Linked DNA regions of Macaca mulatta. The protein of the gene in region 2 purifies or fractionates together with the protein of the main gene of each other region. This does not show direct contact. Links are inferred from orthologs where the notes say so. Each region holds a gene or a part of one and is shown on either strand. Other genes may lie near its edges.

Region 1 (5,145 bases), on a different chromosome or scaffold from region 2:
TGGTTCATCAAAGACCCAACCACAATGCAGTGAGGAAGGGCAGCCGCCAAAGGTTTTATTCTCCAGGAAGAGGGGCTCTCAGGGTCTGTGAGCAGGAGGCACGAGGACTTTATTGCACATGTGGTTAGGTGATGGCTGCACTGGGAACTGGGAATCAGAGTGTCCTGACCTCCTGCTCTGTCTCTCTCTCCCTCTCTGCCTCCTCTGTCTCTCTGCCTCTCTCCCTTTCTCCCTTTCTCCCTCTCTCCCTCTCTCCCTCTCTGCCTCTCTCCCTTTCTGCCTCTCTCCCTCTCTGTCTCTCTGTGTCTTTCCCTCTCTGCCTCTCTCTCTTTCCCTCTCTGCCTCTCTTCCTCTCTCTCCCTCTCTGTCTCTCCCTCTGTCTCTCTCTCTCTCTCTGCCTCCTCTGTCTCTGTCTCCCCATCTCTCTCCCCTCTCCCCACCTCTCTTTCTCTCTCCCCTTCTCTCCATCTCTCTCCCTCCTCCTTTCCCTCCCTGACCCCCATTTATGCACCTGGGCCCCCTTCCTGGGCAGGCACACACACAATGCCAAGACCACTGTCTGGGATGTGGGGGCAAGGCTGCAGGACTGTGGTCCTGGTGTGGCACCCCCACCTTCCAGCACAAGTGGGGTCGGGGGTCCCAGGCATGACTGCACTCTCCTGGGTGGGCGCCCTGCACTCGGGGAAGCAGAAGCTGCAGGTCTCCACTGGCTCAGGGGATGTGCCCACAGGGCTGCCAGCTTCCATCGCGTGATCTGCAGAGGCAAGAGTGGAGTGTGTGGGCCAGGCCTGGCCCTGCACCAGGGTAGGGGTGACGGTGTGGGCAGCTGCACTCTTCTCCGACCCAGGAGCTAAGGGCAATCACCCAGGCCAGTGTCAGTGTCCCCCAGTTGCCAACCAGAACCTGTGCCTGGGCAGGGGTGGGCAGGCAAATCTTGACTCTCACTTCAGTCCAGCACCAAGCCTGCCAAACCCCCCAAAGGGACACCTCCTCCCAGGCTTAGCCCTAAAGGCTCTGTATCCTGAGAATCCTGGGCCCAGGCAAATCTGAAGGCCAGCACCCCACACCCACCCTTCCTGGGTGCCACTCTCTTGGGTATCTGCCTGCCAGGATGTCTTAAATTGATTTTATCAAGCTACAGCAAATAACAGGGATGAGCCCTGGGCCTCTCCACTTAGAAGCAGGGGCAGTGACAGGATGGAGGGATGGCCCGAGGCTTGTCACCCAAGTATTGAGAAGGGCGAGGACCCCAGTTTCATGAACTCACCCTGGGAAGACTTGGCCGGATTTTGACAGGACCTTGAGCGGGGCTGGCAGGAGCAGGGATCCCTCCTCTTCTTGAGGAAGCAGGCCACTGTCACCAGGAAGCAGCAGAGGACGGCACACAGGCAGAGCCCCAGCGTGCTGTAGACCAGGGCCAGCTGATCTGCACTCAGTTTCAGCCCCGGGAGAGCTGCAAGACAGCGTGAGACCCCTCTCTGCAGTGCCTTCTCCTCTTCCCACTCTTAGATTTAGGAATTTCATAAAGTGACAGAGCTGCCAGGACTCTTAGGGGTCATCAGTGCCACTCTGACATTTACAGGGGGAGATGGGAACTTGGGGTGAGCTGGTGTCACTCCACCAGTCAGTGGCTGTCCTTCCTGTCCAGTGCCCAGATCTCAAAGAGGCCTAACGGAGGAAAACAAGACCCCAGGACCTGCAAACTTGGTGCCACATATCCAAGGCTTACCTGCTCCTACTTGCCTCTGGAATCAAATGCAAACAGTGCCCTGGAGGCATGAGCAGGTGAGACCCTGCCAGCCCTCAGAGCACAGACAGAATGCCGGGCTACAATTTGTTACTAAGCGGAAATGAACTGCATTGATTCAAGGAGGAAAACAAAATATTTGTGCATATTTCAAACATTTCAACATGAGGTTCTGAAACCCAACTGTTCAGAAACCATGCAAGTGTTCAGAGACCATGCTTACAGCATGGTCACCTGACATCGTGTGGACCATCTGGGCTGGGCTGGGCCTCATTCTATCCAGGAGAGTGCCATGGGGGCAAGGCTGTGCCACTCTGGGCCTCCACCTCAAGAAGACCTGACAGCCTCAGTGTTTGCTCCCTTGGGCCTGAGCCACCACTCAAGAAGTCCAGCTGGAGAGTCCCAGTGGAGAGGGACAGGCCCTGAGATCAGCTGGAGGAGAAGCAAGACCTGAATATCCCAGCATCAGAGTCCAGCCTCCAATAGCTCCATCCCCAGCACCATCTGCATAACAGACCCCAAGCAAGAGCAGCAGAAGACCCGCCCAGCTGAGCCCTGCCTCCCCACAGAGCCACACAAGGTCACAACATGAAGATAAGAATCTGGGGACGAGTGTCCAGATCCAGTGACAAGTGTCCTTATACAAGAAGAGAAGGGAGGAGACACAGGCACGGGAAAGAAGCCATGTGGAAGAGGCAGAGATGGGAGTGATGAGGCCACAAGCCCAGGAGGCCTGGGGCAGCCGCCAGAAGCCGGAGAAGGCAGGGAAGAATCCTACCCTGGAGCTTTCAAAGGGAGCAGGGCTCTGCTGCTGCTTGGATCTCAGACTTCTGGGCTCCAGACCAGAAGACAGAGGATCAGTTTGTGTTGTTTTAAGAACCTAACATGTGCACACTGTCATAGCAGCCCCAGGAAGTACAGCCTATCCTAGGACAGAACGCACCCAGCCAGGGTGACAACCCCTTCAGTCCTGGGCAGGGTTCTGAATGCTCAGCAAACCCCAAGTCACTGAGGCCCCACAAAAGCCCTGGGAGGTCAGAGTCATTATGACCAATTTAGGTGGGGACAGCAAGGCACAAGTAGCCCAGATGCACATAGGTTAATTCTGATGTCACAATTTGTTCAATATTTAGATTTCAGCACTAGGGTTTTTTTCCTAACCTTATGTGCTTTGATGCATTCCAGAACCTTATTCCCAGAAGGGGTCATGGGCACCCCCAATGTCTGCAGGACACAGAGGCTGAGCAGTTCCATGACTGACTACTTCCAGTTCTTCTTTTTTTTTTTTTTTTTGAGACGGAGTCTTGCTCTGTCGCCCAGGCTGGAGTGCAGTGGCGCCATCTCGGTTCACTGCAAGCTCCGCCTCCTGGGTTCACACCATTCTCCTGCCTCAGCCTCCCGAGTTGCTGGGACTACAGGCGCCTGCCACCATGCCCATCTCATTTTTTGTATTTTTAATAGAGACGGGGTTTCACCTTGTTAGCCAGGATGGTCTTGATCTCCTGACCTCGTGATCCACCTACCTCGGCCTCCCAAAGTGCTGGGATTACAGGCGTGAGCCACCGCGCCTGGCCTCTCCCTCCAGTTCTAATCTCATGCCAATGCACTGTCCCTCTGTCCCTTCCCAGGTCCTTGTCATCTCTGGTTCCTATTATTGCCAGAAATAGCTTCTCACAGGGCTCCTGCTGCCATCACCACCATCCAGAGGCAACAGGGCGCTCTCCCACAGCTGTGCTCTGACCCCTTGTCCCATGGCTGCCCCTGTCCCCAGCAAGACATCGGCCTCCCAGTCTGGCACATGGGGCCCACTGTCATCTGGCATCTGGTCCCTCCTGGTGCCATCTCCAACCATCCCTGAATGCTTGCTCTTCCCAGCTCAGTCCTCTGCAGCCCCCACACTGGGGGACAAGGTCCTGCCCTTGGTGCTTTTCCTCCTTCTCTGCTGGACAGATGAGCAGCCCCACCCACTGGGGCAGGCTCCCTGGGCCACCTGTTCCCCTCAGGGAGACACAGACACTACATACGCACCTGCCCCGGAGCCTAGGCAGGGAGCTCCTTGCATCGGCCTGGAGTTGTCGCAACAGAACCCCACACCAGACTCCTCTCCTGCTCAACATCTCAAGCCATTTTCAGTCCAGCTTGGGGGCCTGCCCTGCTCTCCCCACGAAGCCCCATGTGTGAGCAGCAGGGCCTTCTGTGCCCTCTTGGTGAGCATGTGGAGTGGTCAGTCTCCACCTTCAAAGCAGATCTGGGGTGGGGTTCCTCCTGCTTCCGTGGAGTGGCCACCACACTCCTGTAGGCTGGAAGCCTGAGAGGAAGGGATTTAGCCCATTCTCCAGCACAGAGCCCCTCACAGCCTCCCAACAGCCCAGTTCGCTGCTCCTAGCAGCACCTGTATGTGCTGTTGCCTCTGCCTGGAACCCTGTCCCCACCGTGTGGCTTCAACATAGTTGCTTTTTGAATGAGCAGTTCCAGCGCACAGAGCACGTGCTCCCCAAAAAACGTATTCTCCCAAATCACCCTCACAGCAACTCTATGAAGGTGAACAACTCCAGCTTCACAGAACTAAGGCTCAGAGAGGGTCGGTAGCTTGCTCCAGATCACACAGCTTGTGAGGGACATAACTAGGGGTTTGGCTCCATATTCCACACCCCCGCCCCAGCCTGCCCTAAAGGCTCCTCCTCCGGGAAACCTTCCTTGTTCCCGTGTCATCTGCAGCTGGGTTACGTGGCCCCCATGCACTGAAAGGAATGTGTCATCTGCATGGCTTGTCCACTGCCTGGCCTTCCACAAGACGGTAAACTCCATGGGTCTGGGACAGGAACTGCCTCATTCTCCCCGCTCCCCATGCACAGCAAGCCTGCCACAGTTCCAGGTTCAACTAAGGAGGGGCAGTTCTGAATGGGATGCAAGAGAAACCTGGAGTCAGGGTGAGGCGGGACCTGGTAGGGCTGGAGATGGGGGACAGCAGATTTTGGGGAGCCCATGAAGAGGGCAGAGAACAGGTCAGCCCTTCCACCGTGTGCAGCTGGACAACTTGGTCACATGGTGTCCTCTGCTCCCTGCCCTTAAATAGGTCCATCTCTGGGTCCCTCCCCTGGCCATGTGGCTCTGTACTTCCTGTTTGCAATCCACAGCAAGCTCCCCTCCTGCCCCACCAGCCCATGCAGGCATCGGAGGTCAGAACAGAATAGACCTTAGCCCTGGGCCCCTGGAGAAATACAGGGCAGGGCAATGCACAGCGACAGTCACACAGTCACCAAAAGCCACGCCATGGCACAAGTGTGGCAACTGATGCAGGGTGAGGCGTGGTAATGCCGACCCCACTGGCACCAACACGTCCTCACACAGCCCCCAATGCTCACAGCCTGGGGCTCCATCCCTGGAGCCAAGATGAG
Region 2 (5,145 bases):
CACACCAGAGTAGCATCTTAAAACTGCTGAATTACCTACTAATGGTTGTCTGACCACATAAACAGTAGCTGTGGGATATGCCACACCCTATGCTCATAGGGCACTGGATTCACAAATCTAATTTTAAAATACAGATTTTAAAATGCCTTACTGATTTTATATTTTTAACCAAATAAGCTAAGGCAGGCAATGCAATCATACATCTGGGATATATTATCCATAAAAAGTTGGTCTTTTCAGTTTGCTCAATCTCTGAATATCTTTCCTAGTTGGTCTACTAATCTTATCTCCTACCCATAAAGTTTGAGTTATTTCCTCTGCAGAATACTCATTTTGGGTGATATATTTTGAGGGTGTAGAGGAAGAAACCAACTTTTTTTTTTTTTTTTTGGAGACGGAGTCTCGCTCTGTCGCCAGGCAGATGCAGACGGAGTGCAGTGGCGCAATCTCGGCTCATGGCAACCTCTGCCTCCCGGTTTCAAGCGATTCTCCTGCCTCAGCCAGAGTAGCTGGGACTACAGACAGCTGGGACTGCAGGCACATGCCACCACACCCAGCTAATTTTTGTATTTTTAGTAGTGACGGAGTTTCACCATGTTGGCTAGGATAGTCTCAATCTCTTGACCTCATGATGCGCCCACCTCAGCCTCCCAAAGTGTTGGGATTACAGGCGTGAGCCACTGTGCCTGGCCGAAACCAGCTTTTCTTTAATGCAGAATCAATATTTATTTATTTTGATTCAGAGACTGCTGAGTTCTAGCTGCAACAGCATATTTTAAAACATAAACATGTAAGGTGTTTGCCAGTATGTAATAAATACATAAGGCTTTTAAATTTCTTTTCTCAGAAGAAGAAAGTCAAACAAAATCAAAGCAGCAGGACAGTGATAAACTGAACTCCCTCAGCGTTCCTTCAGTTTCAAAACGAGTAGTGCTGGGTGATTCAGTCAGTACAGGAACAACTGACCAGCAGGGTGGTGTGGCCGAGGTAAAGGGGACCCAACTGGGAGACAAATTGGACTCTTTCATTAAACCACCTGAGTGCAGTAATGATGTCAACCTTGAGCTCCGGCAGCGGAACAGAGGGGACTTGACAGCGGACTCAGTCCAGAGGGGTGCCCGCCATGGCCTAGAGCAGTACCTTTCCAGATTCGAAGAAGCAATGAAGCTAAGGAAACAGCTGATTAGTGAAAAACCCAGTCAAGAGGATGGAAGTACAACAGAAGAATTTGACTCTTTTCGAATATTTAGATTGGTGGGATGTGCTCTTCTTGCTCTTGGAGTCAGAGCTTTTGTTTGCAAATACTTGGTAAGAAAAGATCTGTAAATTATTAACTAACTTAATGGAAAATGCAAAATGTTAATAATTATGAGTGCTTTTGACCCATAGAAGTCATTGCCAAAATTAATATCTACCGGATCCATGTGGCTGTTTGAAGATACATTATTAACTTTGCTATTCATCTTATAGAATGAAGTGTTCTGGTTAAATACAGAGCCTAATAATTATTGTTGGTCCTCCATATCAGTTGGTTCTGCACCCTATGTGGATTCAACCAACTGTGGATTGAAAGTATTTGGATTTAGCCGGGCGTGGTGGTGCACGCCTGTAATCCCAGTTACTTGGGAGGCTGAGGCAGGAGAATTGCTTGAACCCGGCAGGCAGAGGTTGCAGTGAGCCAGGATAATGCCACTGCACTCCAGCCTGGGTGACAGAGTGAGACCCTCCCTGTCTCAAAAATAATATGTATGTGTATATATTTGGGGAAAAAATAATACAATAATAACAAATAATAAATAATACAAATAAAGGCTGGGCGCGGTGGCTCAAGCCTGTAATCCCAGCACTTTGGGAGGCCGAGACGGGCGGATCACAAGGTCAGGAGATCGAGACCATCCTGGCTAACCTGGTGAAACCCCATCTCTACTAAAAAATACAAAAAACTAGCCGGGCGAGGTGGCGGGCGCCTGTAGTCCCAGCTACTCGGGAGGCTGAGGCAGGAGAACCGCGTGAACCTGGGAGGCGGAGCTTGCAGTGATCTGAGATCTGGCCACTGCACTCCAGCCTGGGCCACAGAGCGAGACTCCGTCTCAAAAAAAAAATAAATAAATAAATAAATAAATAATACAAATAAAAACAGTATAACAACTATTTACATTGTATTAGGCATAAAAAAATCTAGAAATGATTTCAAGTATATGGGAGGAATTGAGTAGGTTATATGAAAATACTATGCCATTTTACATAAGGGACTTGAGCATCTATCAGGAGGAACCTGGTACCAGTCCTCTGCAGATACTGAGGGATGACTCTACTGAAACCCTTTTTTCATGCTACGGACCCTTCTCATTGCTTTGCGTATATTAATTCATCTAATCCTCATTCTTATGAACTTGGTATTATTTGAATCCATTGGGAAATGAAGACTCAGAGAGGTTAAATCATTTGCCGAAGGTCACACAGCTACTAAGTGATGCTGGGATTAAACCTTAGCAGTTTCATTCTTTAACCAAAGGGTTAAGTGCTTTACATATATATATATACTGTATATTATCAATTTTCAAATAATTTGAAATAGTAAAATGCAGTTCCTGTGGTCCTGAATATGAGGTAAATTTCCTATGGTTCAGAAGACATTTCAGCATTTCTTTTTTTTTTTTGAGACGGAGTCTCGCTCTGTCGCCCAGGCTGGAGTGCAGTGGCCGGATCTCAGCTCACTGCAAGCTCCGCCTCCCGGGTTTATGCCATTCTCCTGCCTCAGCCTCCCGAGTAGCTGGGACTACAGGCGCCCGCCACCTCGCCCGGCTAGTTTTTTGTATTTTTTTTAGTAGAGACGGGGTTTCACCGTGTTAGCCAGGATGGTCTCGATCTCCTGACCTCATGATCCACCCGTCTCGGCCTCCCAAAGTGCTGGGATTACAGGCTTGAGCCACCGCGCCCGGCCAGCATTTCTTAATGTAGTGTCATAATGAGTCCATTTTGGTTGTACCATGATGTGGTTATTTTGTTTTACAGTATATTGAAGAATACAGAAAAGCATAGCTCATAGTTCAGTGTCTTGCACTGAGGTTTTTCCATTCAGTAGACATTTTAGGTATATGTACCAGGCACATAAATAAATTATCCAGATAATTAAAGTTTATATCATTAAGCAAAACAGTTTTTTTTAATCTTTTTTTTTTTTTTTTTTTTTTTTTTGAGATGGAGTTTCTGTCGCCTAGGCTGGAGTGCAGTGGTGCAATCTCGGCTCACTGCAATGTCCACCTCCTGGGTTCAAGTGATTCTCCTGCCTTAGCCTCCTGAGTAGCTGGGACTACAGGCACGTGCCACCATGCACGGCTAATTTTTTGTATTTTTAGTAGAGATGGGGTTTCATCGTGTTAGCCAGGATGGTCTCGATGTCGTGACCTCGTGATCTGCCCACCACTGCCTCCCAAAGTGCTGGGATTACAGGCGTGAGCCACCGTGCCTGGCCTAAAATCTATTTTTATGCAGATGTTTTCATAAATAGAACCTGTTGAACAGATTTTATTTGTTTTTCCTTGATAATAACTTGTCAACATAGTTTGCTATAATGCAAAGATCGGTGATGCTTTCAGCATTTAATGAGCTGCCTCTTTTTTGTCTCTATCTGAAGGGCTCTGTGCTTTCATGCTTTTAATGTTATGCCTATTTTTGTGTGAATTTTTTTGTTTTGGTTTTCTGGGTTTTTTTTTTTTTTTTTTTTTTTTTTTTTTTTTGAGATGGAGTCTCACGCTGTTGCCCAGGCTGGAGTGCAGTGGTGCGATCTCGGCTCACTGCAAGCTCCGCCTCCTGGGTTCACGCCATTCTCCTGCCTCAGCCTCCTGAGTAGCTAGGACTACAGGCACCCGCCACCGCGCCCGGCTAATTTTTTGTATTTTTAATAGAGACGGAGTTTCACTGTGGTCTCGATCTCCTGACCTTGTGATCCGCCCGCCTCGGCCTCCCAAAGTGCTGGGATTACAGGCTTGAGCCACCGCGCCCGGCCCGGTTTTCTGGGTTTTGTTGCTATCAGAGTTTCAACTGTTTCTTACTGCTGTCACCATACTGCCATCTAGTAATGTTTGCTCCTTCACTCGCTTCGTAATGGTTTCATTTTAAAAGTAGTTATGAGGGGCTGGGCACAGTGGCTCATGCCTGTAATCCCACCATGCCCAGCTAATTTTTTAGCAGAGATAGGGTTTCACCTTGTCAGCCAGGATGGTCGTCTCGATCTCTTGACCTCGTGATCCGCCCATCTCTGCTTCCCAAAGTGCTAGGATTACAGGCATGAGCCACCATGCCCAGCCAAGCATTTAGTTTTGTTGTTGTTTAAAACGTTTTAGAGATAGGATCTTGCTGTGGTGCCCAGGCTGGACTAGAACTTCTGGGCTCAAGCAGTCCTCCTGCCTCAGCCTTCTGCATAGCTGGAAGAATGCCATCTATTTTGAGTGCTGGGCCTTGTCTGTGTGCTTCCTGGATGTCAATTAATTCCCTCTGGGTGACGGAGATGTTACTGCATGATGTGTTAAACATCTGTCACTATTTAATACTTTAAATAATTTAAAAGATGAGTTTTTATGAGAGAAGACAGTTTTGGGGACACTAAAAGAATGTGAAAGAATTGTATGACCTGAGAAACATATTTTATGTTAGGAAATCAAATCTTTTATTTTCTTCACCCTTCTGAGGAAACAAGATTACTTTTAACCATTAAAATTACTATTTTATGGGAGACTGAGGCAGGAGAATTGCTTGGACCCAGGAGGCAGAGGTCACAGTGAGCCGAGATTGCGTCACTGCACTCCAGCCTGGGCGACAGAGTGAGACTCCGTCTTAAAAAAAAAAAAGTAATTGCCAGGCGAAGTGACTCACACCTGTAATCCCAGCATGTTGGGAGTCCGAGGTGGGTTGATCACATGAGGTCAGGAGTTGTAGACCATCCTGGCCAACATGGTGAAACCCTGTCTCTACTAAAAATACAAAAATTAGCCAGGCATGGTGGCGGGCGCTTGTAACCCCATCTACTTGGAAGGCTGAGGCACCAGCATCACTTGAACCTGAGAGGTGGATGTTGCTGTGAACCAAGATCGTGCCACTGCACTCAGACTGGGTGACAGAGGAAGACTCTGTCTCAAAAAATAA

The links. Proteins that work in one complex are often made in the same cells at the same time.
Region 1: the proteins of CAMLG (region 2) and TNFRSF13B purify together in Homo sapiens (affinity purification with western blotting; 3 studies listed by BioGRID and IntAct, with this or other methods). This does not show direct contact. The link is inferred for Macaca mulatta from reciprocal best matches to the Homo sapiens genes CAMLG and TNFRSF13B.

The regions. Positions count from the first base shown.
Region 1 is NC_133421.1:18,492,751-18,497,895, forward strand, and holds the end of TNFRSF13B (tumor necrosis factor receptor superfamily member 13B), read right to left. Parts: intron 1,454-5,145; coding exon 1,268-1,453; intron 755-1,267; coding exon 504-754; 3' UTR 28-503; downstream 1-27. UniProt on the Homo sapiens protein: Receptor for TNFSF13/APRIL and TNFSF13B/TALL1/BAFF/BLYS that binds both ligands with similar high affinity. Mediates calcineurin-dependent activation of NF-AT, as well as activation of NF-kappa-B and AP-1.
Region 2 is NC_133411.1:143,657,218-143,662,362, forward strand, and holds part of CAMLG (guided entry of tail-anchored proteins factor CAMLG), read left to right. Parts: intron 1-847; coding exon 848-1,308; intron 1,309-5,145. UniProt on the Homo sapiens protein: Required for the post-translational delivery of tail-anchored (TA) proteins to the endoplasmic reticulum.